Kluyveromyces lactis: one gene and its partners. The protein of the gene in region 3 interacts with the protein of the main gene of each other region in a pairwise test. Links are inferred from orthologs where the notes say so. Each region holds a gene or a part of one and is shown on either strand. Other genes may lie near its edges.

Region 1 (3,758 bases), on a different chromosome or scaffold from region 3:
CAAGATGAAATAGACGAAATTCATGACCAGATCAAAATTGATAATCAGTTTGAGGTGTCATCTAATGCCTTTGAAGACATGGACGAACCAAAACCCGCTGCACATGCAGTTTGGACCTCTAATGAAATGAAACTTACAGAAAATCCTTGGTGAACATTAAGTAAATAATTTATTGATATGCGGATTTAAACTAAATGGTTAAAGTTTGCTTCGATTTTTATAAATGCCTTGTTTATAGAGGAATCGAATATATGCATCCATTGGGATTATGCAATTTGGAAATATTAGTCCTAACTCTGACATGATATTCTTCTGTTAGTGATTTTTTCCGTTGTTCTTGATCTTTAGTTAGATTAGATGAATCATGTCTATTTTGTATCTCATGCAGGTCTTTTACACTATCCCATTCATTTGTTCTACCTGACATGAAATTGGTATGATTGATTGAGTCTTCAAAATACTTGTCTTCTATTTCTGAGGAGTCATTCTGAGGACCGAATCGTGCGAAGGCTTTAGTCAGGTTCTGAGTATCTATATCAGCATTTTCTTTCGATCCAGTTCTGGGTACTCTTTCTCCTTCGGATTTTGGTATTTCCGAACTTGACACAAGGTATACAAATGATGATACAGACCATTCGTACCAAACTCTGCTATTTAAGTCATTTCTAGTAATGAATACTTCAAGTTCAGTGTCATCATTTAAGAACAAGGGTTCCTTCAAGGGGAAAAACATTGGTGACCATGATTTCATATTTTCCGTATGATTCACTTTAGTGGCAGTTGATCCGTTATGGCTTCTGGAGTTATCTATGTTAGAATTTTCCTGATCTTCTAAAGTTTTAATGACAGAGTCATTTGGAACTATGCTCAAGGTTATATCTCCGTATAATGTTGCAATAAAGTATCCAGCAATACCATGAATTTCACTTTTATGCTTTACTCGAAAGTGGGATATTGAACTTTTGTTAAATTGATGCTGTTGTTGATGCAAATGTGAGAATGACCATATTTCATTTACTCTGGATGATGTACGGCAATATGGAACATTGTGAATTATTGAAGGTTTTTCGAGATATTCTGGTCCTTTTTCAATGAGGCTTTGGTATAAAATTGGAGATGATATAGGAGACGCATAGGAACTATATCCTTGAGGAATAAACCTTGTGTTAGGTTTTGAATGGAAAGCTTCTATTGGAGCAATACATTCGGGAGATAACTCGTTACAGCCGAAAGACCCCAAAAGTTCACTGATGCAGAGATCGACTTTAATATTTTCATCCCATTCTCGGATGTCAGTACGGATAACTTCAACTTTGTTGTCCCAGTGTTCAAAGTTGCGTTTCTGTAAATAGAGAAGTGCTTGTGGGTTTTTTTCGATAGCCAATAGCCTGAAGTTGGTTACTCCAAGTTTATGTAACACTTGGAATGTCTTATCCACCAATGGACCCCTGCCTGCACCTGCAACTAATGTGATAAGTTCTGTAGGGCCTCTCCAACTGGACGAATTTTCTGTCAAAATTTCAGATACAGCGACCATGATAGCCCTCTCGTATAATTCGTACTTGACAGTATCCTTTTCGAAAACTTGGTAAACTGCATTCGAAAGATTATCATGATGGGGTAGTAGCGGAGGCATGATTGTAGGTGCACTGTGGACAACATCTTGGGTCTCCATTAGTATGAGCTTATCTCCCTTTTTCAATAAATAATTGAGGTATTCTAGGTACTGTGTAGGTTCAATTTTGAGTTTATCCGTGTATTTCTCCATACCATGTAAAACGATAGCTAGTTCGCCAAATGTTGATGCGTTACCGTTAACACGTTGGAACTCAGTGATTAAATGCTGATTAAATTTATTCAATACAGGGTAATTGTATTGATTTGTTGTGAATATGGATGCAGAGATCAAAAGACATGTGACAGGTTCGCTCAGCCATCTGTTTAGCACAAAACTGGGAGTCTTCTGTCTAGGTAGAGCTAGAGATACAGTCAATTTAGGCTCGTATCCGCACATTTTCCTGATCGTGTTCCACAGTTCCCAAGTCGAAAGTGGATCTGAATCTTCAAACAAAGGTAACGAAATAGATATTGTCGGACACGCTTCTTTAAAAGTATCAAATACTGTACACAAAGATTGTGCGTAGTAATGAAGCGTGTGTAACTTTTTAGGAGGAGCTAAGATAACCTGTCTGATTCCAACGAAATTTGCATAATGCAATTCGTGCTCCAACACTTGCAAAGATAAAGTCCGGACATCAGCATCATGGCTCTCGAGCTCTAAAAAGTAAGAGACCAATCCAATATATGAAACATTTCCATTAGATGGCAATACCCCCAGCTCTTGCAATTGAGGAGGATCTAACTTTAGTTCTTCATTCCATCCATGACCGTGATCTCGAAAATCTTCAAACTTGGCCTTCATGGCATCCTTGTATCTGGTATTTGTCAAGGGCAGCAGCACATAGTCATAATTCTCTACTCTTTTATCTGTAGAAGAAGTTCCAAGAACATCAGCGGAATGTTCACTGTGAGGTTTGATCCCGACGAAAACATTACTTCGACTTGCCATTTCAGCACATACAAACACACAAACGCAGCACGCAGAACAGTTTCACAACAACAGTCAAACGTTTATTGGTAAACCCTTCTTCAGCTATACCGTAATTATGGTAGACACTACACCAGTGATAGCTCTGTGTCCTATTCTTTTACCTCATCTCTGACCATCAATAGTGACGGATCTGGTTTCTGTCCTAAACAATATTTATTTTCATTTTTTTTTTGTAAACAATACTATTTTAATACCTAAGATCTTTTCAGTTATGCTAAAGACATGATATGTGATGAGCGAATAAGATCCAGCATCAGTAGTCTAGGGTTAATTAACACTCCAATTGTATAGCTTAAGTTGTGATCGAATCTAACAATGTATTCGACGCACGCTTTCCAAGGCAGAAAGCTTTCTGATCAGGAAAGAACGAGAGTTCTCGAATTTCAAGATAGCATTCATTATTCACCAAGATACTCCGACGATACACACGAATACAGACATGTAATGCTTCCCAAGGCCATGCTAAAAGTGATACCTTCTGATTATTTCAACGGAGACACTGGTACTTTGCGAATCTTAACAGAAGACGAATGGAGAGGGTTAGGAATTACACAATCTCTGGGATGGGAACATTACGAATGCCATGCGCCTGAACCACATATTTTACTATTTAAGAGACCACTGAATTACGAGGCTGAAATACGTGCGGCGCATGCTGCCGCACAGCAGCAGCAAAAATCAATTGCTGCAGGCCAACAAAGTCAAAATATATGAACTACCCACTAAAGACTTTAAAATGAAATAATAAGAAAATCGTATTCCAGTTTTACGCGTTACACTGTTAATAAGAGAGAATAATGTTTCCCCAAAGATCTGCAATTCCTGGCTGCACACTTTGTGTAAGTTAGTCTTCTGTTGTCAAACTTGCAAATGGCTTAAGACGCCTGAATTGTACTTCTGGAGAAGTGTTTAGCATATGTACATACCACATTTATGTATGTGTTGAGATTCCTTATTGATACCAAAATTTGTATATAAGTCAAATTATAAATAATGAAACTAACCAAAAACAAACGCTGGACTATGAAAGAAACACAGTTTTCTCTCGTTAGGGCGTCCTAGGTGAGTGTGATTGAGAGTGCAGTTGCCGTGTAAGAGTAATATCTTCTCAGCGTATAGGAAATGGATAATCCTAGGGTAAAATATC
Region 2 (3,758 bases), on a different chromosome or scaffold from region 3:
AGGTGGTATCAAGACGTCAGAAATCAAATCCACCATTGTCAAGAAAACTGTGGTTGTTGATTCGCCAGATGTTTTGATTCTTCACTTGTCGCGTTCGGTTTTCGACGGGATGGGATATCAAAAGAACACCTGCAATGTTTCTTTCGAAGAAGAATTGGTAGTCAACCGCCAAGTTATTGAAAACAATAAATGTGTTGGCATCAGAAAGGATTCATATAAGTTAAGGTCGATGTTGAGGCATCAAGGTTCTCATTCTACCGGTCACTATGAATGTTTCAGACACAAACCAGAGTTTATGAAAGACATTGATACACATCAAGTCATTAGCAAGACACCAATGGTGGACTTCGGTATTGCGTCGAATAAACTTGCAGCTGAAATCTGGAATCAGGCCGTTCTGAACTCCTCTAACAAATCCGATTCTTGTTCAATCGGCTCGGAAGATTCAATCTCCTCTAACGTGCCATTCAGATCTGTTTTCCTGGACTCACCAAACTCTGCGATTGTTACTGATGATGATTACGTTATTGGAAGCTCAGAGTTCTCTAACGACGCAGATAATAAGGGCCAAAACAACAACAGTGGTTCTGGAGTTTCAAGGACGCCATCCACTTTGAAAAGAGTCACTGGTTTCCTTTCGAGAAAGAGTTCTGTCTCGGCAGCACCGGATAATAACAATACTAGCAATATACTACCTGAAATTAGCAGTTCACCCATGGCTTCATCATCTTCAGAACATAGAAACCGCGCAAGATTTAACAGTGTCTCTTCTATGACGACTGACCGCAACGCTTCGATATTATCTAGTAATGCTAGTATCGACTCTTACAGTACAGATCAAGTTACTAATACAAGTGCTACCGAAGTGGAAACTGAAACAGATTATGACGGTATTTCAATGAATGTCAACAAGAAGACAAAGAAAAGAAGATTAAAGAAATTGAAAAGTGTGGTGAAATACCCATGGTGGAGAATATCTGATACTAAAGTTAAAGAATATAAAACTTCAGATATTTTATCAGAAACTAAATTCGTTTATATGTTGTACTATGAGAGGGTACCAGTAGTCTAACCTGGTCAGTAAGCAAATACTGGAACCAACATAACAACAACCAAAAGAATAAGAAAAAATAGAAACATAGACATATTTTACTAAATTGCACAAGCGGCACCTCACCGCTCCGAATCATTCATCCTTTGTCAATTAACTCATCGATTTATGATGACCACAGGCCATGTATTACTCGATTAATTAGTTTTAGCACTTTTACGTTAACCTTATATACATATACTGTACGATCTTTAAATTTCAGATCATGTGACCTCTAAAACCCTTCTAGAATGAAATTCTTCCTTTCCTTCTGCGGGTTGATGAAGCGAGATGAAAAAGGATTGACATGAATAAAGAGACGAGTTTCAGGAATTCATAATAACAGAGTTGATAGACGAAAGCTGCAACACAAAGGCAAAGGCAGTCAATAGTGGGAAAATGTTGAAGGTATGTAATAATGCGCGTGGTATTGTCTTATGTTTGGCAATTTTGACGTAGTAGCGGAGGATTTCTGACTTTGTTAGAGGCTGGAAAATTTTTCTTTACTGAAAGAAGGTAACCACATGAATATTGCAACGTGAAGGCAAAATACTAACATATACTATGATCATTGGTTGGTGATTAAATTGAACCAATTATCTAATTTCTGGAAATTTTTGGAATAGAATTTCAAATTGAAGAAAGACAGTGTGAAACAGCGCATAACTTCTGCGGATATTTCCGGACCTACTCAAAGTCCAGGGAGCTCAGTGCAAAACGTAAAGACCATTCCTATCAGGCAATTATCTACATCATCACAGCTATCTTCGGGGTTTACAAGTGGAAAATCAAAAGATATCTCGTCTCCAGAAAAAGTAATCAAAGCGTTATACAATTACCAGGCACAATCAGCCGGTGAATTATCATTCAATAAGGGAGACTTTTTCCATGTTCAGCAAGAGGAGAACGATTGGTATGAGGCCTCCAATCCGGCGGACGGCAAGAGAGGCATGGTTCCTAAGAATTATTTCGAGATTTTTGGCAGAACAAGGCCAAATTCGCATGCATCACCGGTGAAAAGTATAAATAGAAATGGATCTGTCGGTAGTAATCAGTTATTACAGCATCATCAGCAGCAACAGCAGCAACAGCAGCAACAACAACCTTCCAATATGGGAACTCTTTATGCAATTGTACTGTATGATTTTCAAGCAGAAAAGGCAGATGAGTTAACAGCCTATGCCGGAGAAAACTTGTTCATTTGTGCTCATCACGATTTTGAATGGTTTATCGCTAAGCCCATTGGCAGGTTGGGTGGTCCCGGTCTAGTTCCTGTTGGTTTTGTGACTATTATAGATATAGCTACTGGTTATGCCACGGGAAATGATGTAAAAAGCGATATCGAATCAGTGAATCTACCCTCGGTCCAAGAATGGAAGATCAATATCGCCCGTTACAAGGCTAGCAATATCACACTAGGTTCAGTGGAACAGCAGGGTCAGTCGTACGTGCAACACCGATCACAATCCAGGCAAAATTCACAAAACCGTCAACCACACCCCAGCACGCAGCACTCGAGCGCTGCCAATACAACCTATCCTGCTGATGCCGTTTTCCTTACCTACGCTGCAGTCGAGACATTTTTCCTACAGGACGATAAGTATTGGTTCCAAGTCTCGTGTCAGTTATCCAACAACACCACGCGTATTTTGAAGCGTTATTATGAAGATTTCTATGATTTACAAGTAAAGCTACTCGATATCTTCCCTGCAGAAGGGGGTAAACTAAGAGACACTAATGGTCAGTGGACGAAACGTATAATGCCATATATACCGGGTCCAGTTCCGTATGTGACAGATACCATTTCAAAAAAGAGAAAAGATGACCTAAATATATACGTGAAGGATTTGATTTCCCTACCGCCGCATATATCACAATCACATCTGGTCAAGGGTTTGTTTGCCGTTAAAAATAATGGTTTTGACCGTGAGATTAGTAATGATGAAACTGTGGAGCTTGACGTAAAAGGTAGGGCTGATGATTCAACTCTGACTAACCAAGAACTACAACTTCCAGAGGCAATGAAGAGACTGTCTCTGATTAATAGCGCTTCCAATGCCAGTGCTAAAGTCAAATCAAGGCCGCCTAGTGGTTTCGCTCCGAGAATAACTGATGAAAAGCCTGTCAAGATCAAATTTTATTACAAAGATGACATATTCGCCTTGATGCTGCATCCTACCATTACTTTTGAAGAATTGTGCAGTAAAATAGCACCTAGAATTGACGCAGATTCTTTTAAGTTGTACATCAAAAACGGAGATGATATTGGCACTCAAGTCACTACTGATGCAGAAGTACCGGTTCTAATTCAAGAGAAACGCAAGATCTTTGTCGATGACAGCTAAGTTATTTGTTGCAAAATTTTATCGTCATAATAAATAATACAAAAAGAACCCCAAGGTGGTCAAAATTCAATTTCTATCCACTGATGGCTTTCATGCTTATCATAATGATGTACTGTACATCGCATTGTAATACTTCAACATAATTTTGACATTAACACTCTTATATTCTTTCACATTAATTCAGTTCAACAAGTAAAAATCAGTTGTTTACATACTCTCTCTATAGGTGTTAATACTTCTATCAAAATGATAATAATACTTCACAAACATGTCTAAGGACTATTCATCCAGCTCTATGTCCATGTCTGCATCCGCGTACGGAT
Region 3 (3,719 bases):
ACCAAAATACTCTGATAAACTGGTACTCAAAGATCGTATTGCACAAGCAATGACTGAAGGTTCCGGAGCCTTCCTATTGTCATAGAATATGTATATAACTACATAGAGATGTCTGTAGATCTAACCATACTCCACCCTAACTAAAGATTTCAATACCACATACTTTCGTGACATGTGACAGGATTTACTCTTTGGGATTGGCGAAAATGTTGAAACTGAAATTTAAAGCTTAAGAGTTTAAACAAACGGAATGTAAAGATCAGATGGTATGCATGTTTATAAGCAGATTAGAGAAACGAGCAAGCTCAATTGTTGCTTTAACTGTGGCTTGTGTTAGAACTAGGTTTTAAATTTTATTAATCAGGCTATCTCTGCCGATTTGACAAGTATTTCAGAGAGTAATACCAGGTAATACCATCTTCTTTTGGATCTTTTTAATAACAAGCACACATTATTTGTTTGTTTTGGCGAGAGTGTGATTTTAGCAATCAAAAGACGTTCGTTACACTGAATTACACAACAGGCTCTCGTTTTTAAGTTAGAAGGAGGTGAAGGTAGAAAGAATTTTACAGAGCACGTTTTGTCATTTCTTTCATTGTTTATCTGACTTGATCTTCTATTCTTTGAACAAAGTAATCTAGCTTTTTTTCTGACAGAAATTAACACGGCCACAGCAGGCTTTGTTACTGACGGTTGTATGCTCTAGAAATCATTACAGACCTGTTTGTGTTTTTCGGAATACCTTTCCTTTTTGTTCGGTCGATAGAATTAACCACAAGACATCTTTTGACACAGGCCTTTTTTTTTTGATAGAAGCTACTACACTCACTACTTTGTCTCCATATAATGACGGATACTGGATATACTGAAGAATTGTTACCAGGCACATTTGATGCGCTTTCCGTGAGAGAAAATGGTGGCAATACAGAAAGTGACACCAGTAGCATACGCAAAAGTCAAAATCAAGATTCAAAACAAGAGGATGTACATCGTGAAAATCTTTCAGTACAAACTCTAGAGGATCATACAGAAGTAACGGAGACTAGGGAACAATCTGTCTCAAAAGATCTCTTTGATTTACCTCGTGCACCAGCGAGTTTGGATGTGAAAGGATTACAAGAATCAGACGAAGATCATTACGTCAAAGACCTTTCAGATTATAAATCTATGGATCCAGGGAAACCGGGCACCGTACCAACAAATGTTTCGGAAATTTTTAATAGTAACCAGCCAACTTTGGATGAACCGATACAATTTACAAGAGTCTCTTCCAGTTCTGTGTTAAGTGAAAGTATATCGGAAGGTGATGCAGATTTAATATCGCATCTAGAAGGAAAAGTGGAAGAAGGAAATAATTTGACTTCGAAGGAGACGCCAGGGACAATTGAATCTATTGTTGGAGATAAGACGATGTCAACTATAGAAGGTTCCTCCCAAAATATAGGTAGAATATCTACTGGCGGGAGGATGACACCTGATCTCTCTCTTATGGGCGGGGCCCTGGAAACTTCTTCTGACTTCCTAAATTCCACACAAACCTCAAATTCTCCAAAGATTACAACACCTATAACTGAAGTTGATGCCAATGATGTATATGAGTCCCCGCTAAATGAGATATTATCATCTACAGATAGTTTCAACAAGGCATCGACAGCGTCTGCAGATCATTCGAAACACGTAAGTGTGCATGAAGTAATACCTGAAGAAGAACCACATCCAGAAACAACAAATGAGGATCCTCCAATTAAAACTCCCGTAATGGTGAATAACTTTTTCGAAAATCAAACACCAGTATCAGAATCAAGATCCCCCTTCAGAACCATTTCTTCTCCGTTTTCTTCTCTGAGGAAAAACGTTAAGAGTCAGCATGGGACGCCTGACCACTCCCAGAGGAATTCTAATTCCTCCACCTCCTCTAATGATGTTAAGAGGAAGACCGGTACTAAGAAGAAAGGTGTTTTCTCAACATTCGTTCAAAACATCAAGAGGAACTCACACTCAGAGAAAAGAATTTCTAGCGGAAGCGGTAATGGAAGTGGAAATAATGCATTTAAGATCTCTACTCCTTATAATGCTAAGCATGTTTATCATGTAGGTGTTGACTCCAAAACAGGGGAATATACAGGGTTACCAAATGAATGGGAGAAACTTTTAACTTCCAGTGGCATTAGTATGAAAGAACAACAGCAACATCCCCAGGCTGTGATGGATATTGTAAAATTCTACCAAGATGTTACTGAAAACTCTGGAGAAGAGAAAGTCTTCAAGACTTTCAAAGTAGGAGGTGGCTCTGGTGCAAACATTGCATCTACACCTTCTTTCAGAACCCCATCAACTGCATCAGTACAGAAGTTCGAAACTCCGCAAATGCAAACAGATGCAACTTTTCCGAATGAAAACAATGATACCCCATACTCTAGTAACTTACAGGGTCCGCTGCTCACTAACGATTTCAGTGAAACTGTGAACAACGAAAAGTTCATACCGACTCGGCCTGCTCCAAAACCTCAAGGTTCCTCCACAGTTAGCCGTAGGGTCGAAATCCCTTCACCAATCAATTCGCTTGGCCATGGAACACCAAAAGTGCAAAGAAGTGATACTCAGTCATCAAGCATTTTCTCATTCAAGAAGATGCCAACATTGAAAAGTGAGCAACCATTACCTCCTATTCCAAAGGCTGCAGAAAAACCAGCAAATTTATTGCCTGCAAGAGCGGCTCCTACTCCACCAAAACCTGCAATTCCTACAACACCGGAACAATCCTCAATACCTGCAATTCCTTCCGGGCTTGCTGTGGAAGTGAAAGAGGAATCGAATACTTCTAATGTCCAGACAAGAAAGGCCCAGGAAAAAAAGAGGGAAGAGAGGAAAAGAAAGAATCAACAAATTCAATCAAAATTAACCGAGATTTGCACAACAGGAGACCCAAGCAAACTGTACAAGAATCTGATCAAAATCGGACAAGGTGCATCAGGAGGAGTTTACACAGCGTATGAATTGGGCACAAATGCTTCAGTAGCAATAAAACAGATGAATTTGGAGAAACAACCCAAGAAAGAGTTAATTGTGAATGAAATTCTGGTCATGAAAGGAAGCAAACACAACAACATTGTTAATTTCATTGATTCATACCTATTTAGAGGTGATTTATGGGTTGTCATGGAATACATGGAAGGTGGTTCGTTGACTGATGTCGTTACGCACTGTATATTGACTGAAGGGCAAATCGGTGCCGTCTCTAGAGAAACACTCAAGGGTTTACAGTTTTTGCATTCAAAGGGAGTCATTCATAGAGATATTAAATCAGACAATATTTTGCTATCCATGAACGGAGACATCAAACTAACAGATTTCGGTTTTTGTGCTCAGATTAACGAGGTAAATTTGAAGAGAACGACGATGGTTGGTACTCCGTACTGGATGGCCCCAGAAGTCGTATCAAGAAAAGAATATGGACCAAAGGTTGATATTTGGTCTCTTGGTATTATGATCATTGAAATGATAGAAGGTGAACCACCATATCTGAATGAGACACCACTAAGAGCTCTATATTTGATCGCTACCAATGGTACGCCAAAGCTAAAGGATCCTGGAAATTTAAGTCATAAAATGGCTATGTTCTTAAATTGGTGTTTAATGGTTGATCCAGAGGACAGAGGAACCGCAGCAGATCTTCTTGAAGATCCATTTATCACTGAAATTGCGGAAGAGAACACCTC

What was found.
Region 1: the proteins of STE20 (region 3) and HSL7 interact in a two-hybrid assay, tested with the Schizosaccharomyces pombe proteins (2 studies listed by BioGRID). The link is inferred for Kluyveromyces lactis from reciprocal best matches to the Schizosaccharomyces pombe genes shk1 and skb1.
Region 2: the proteins of STE20 (region 3) and BEM1 interact in a two-hybrid assay, tested with the Schizosaccharomyces pombe proteins (2 studies listed by BioGRID). The link is inferred for Kluyveromyces lactis from reciprocal best matches to the Schizosaccharomyces pombe genes shk1 and scd2.

The regions. Positions count from the first base shown.
Region 1 is NC_006039.1:1,374,719-1,378,476, reverse strand, and holds HSL7 (protein arginine N-methyltransferase), read right to left. Parts: upstream 2,570-3,758; coding exon 233-2,569; downstream 1-232. Other genes in the region: KLLA0_C15851g (uncharacterized protein), read left to right, coding at 1-153; cyclin-dependent protein kinase regulatory subunit CKS1, read left to right, coding at 2,927-3,325; protein kinase MEC1, read left to right, coding at 3,734-3,758. UniProt on the Schizosaccharomyces pombe protein: S-adenosyl-L-methionine-dependent protein-arginine N-methyltransferase that can catalyze both the mono- and symmetric (type II) dimethylation of the guanidino nitrogens of arginine residues in target proteins.
Region 2 is NC_006041.1:2,076,719-2,080,476, reverse strand, and holds BEM1 (phosphatidylinositol-3-phosphate-binding protein BEM1), read left to right. Parts: upstream 1-1,489; coding exon 1,490-1,498; intron 1,499-1,716; coding exon 1,717-3,435; downstream 3,436-3,758. Other genes in the region: putative ubiquitin-specific protease UBP16, read left to right, coding at 1-1,072; KLLA0_E23343g (uncharacterized protein), read right to left, coding at 3,715-3,758. UniProt on the Schizosaccharomyces pombe protein: Required for mating and morphogenesis. Interacts directly with scd1 and with cdc42. May bridge and facilitate scd1 and cdc42 interactions.
Region 3 is NC_006038.1:1,190,746-1,194,464, forward strand, and holds the start of STE20 (mitogen-activated protein kinase kinase kinase kinase STE20), read left to right. Parts: upstream 1-846; coding exon 847-3,719. Other genes in the region: putative ubiquitin-protein ligase UFD4, read left to right, coding at 1-85. UniProt on the Schizosaccharomyces pombe protein: MAP4K component of the MAPK pathway required for the mating pheromone response. Phosphorylates histone H2B to form H2BS10ph. Phosphorylates tea1. Required for skb1-dependent mitotic inhibitory function. Regulates microtubule dynamics and cell polarity.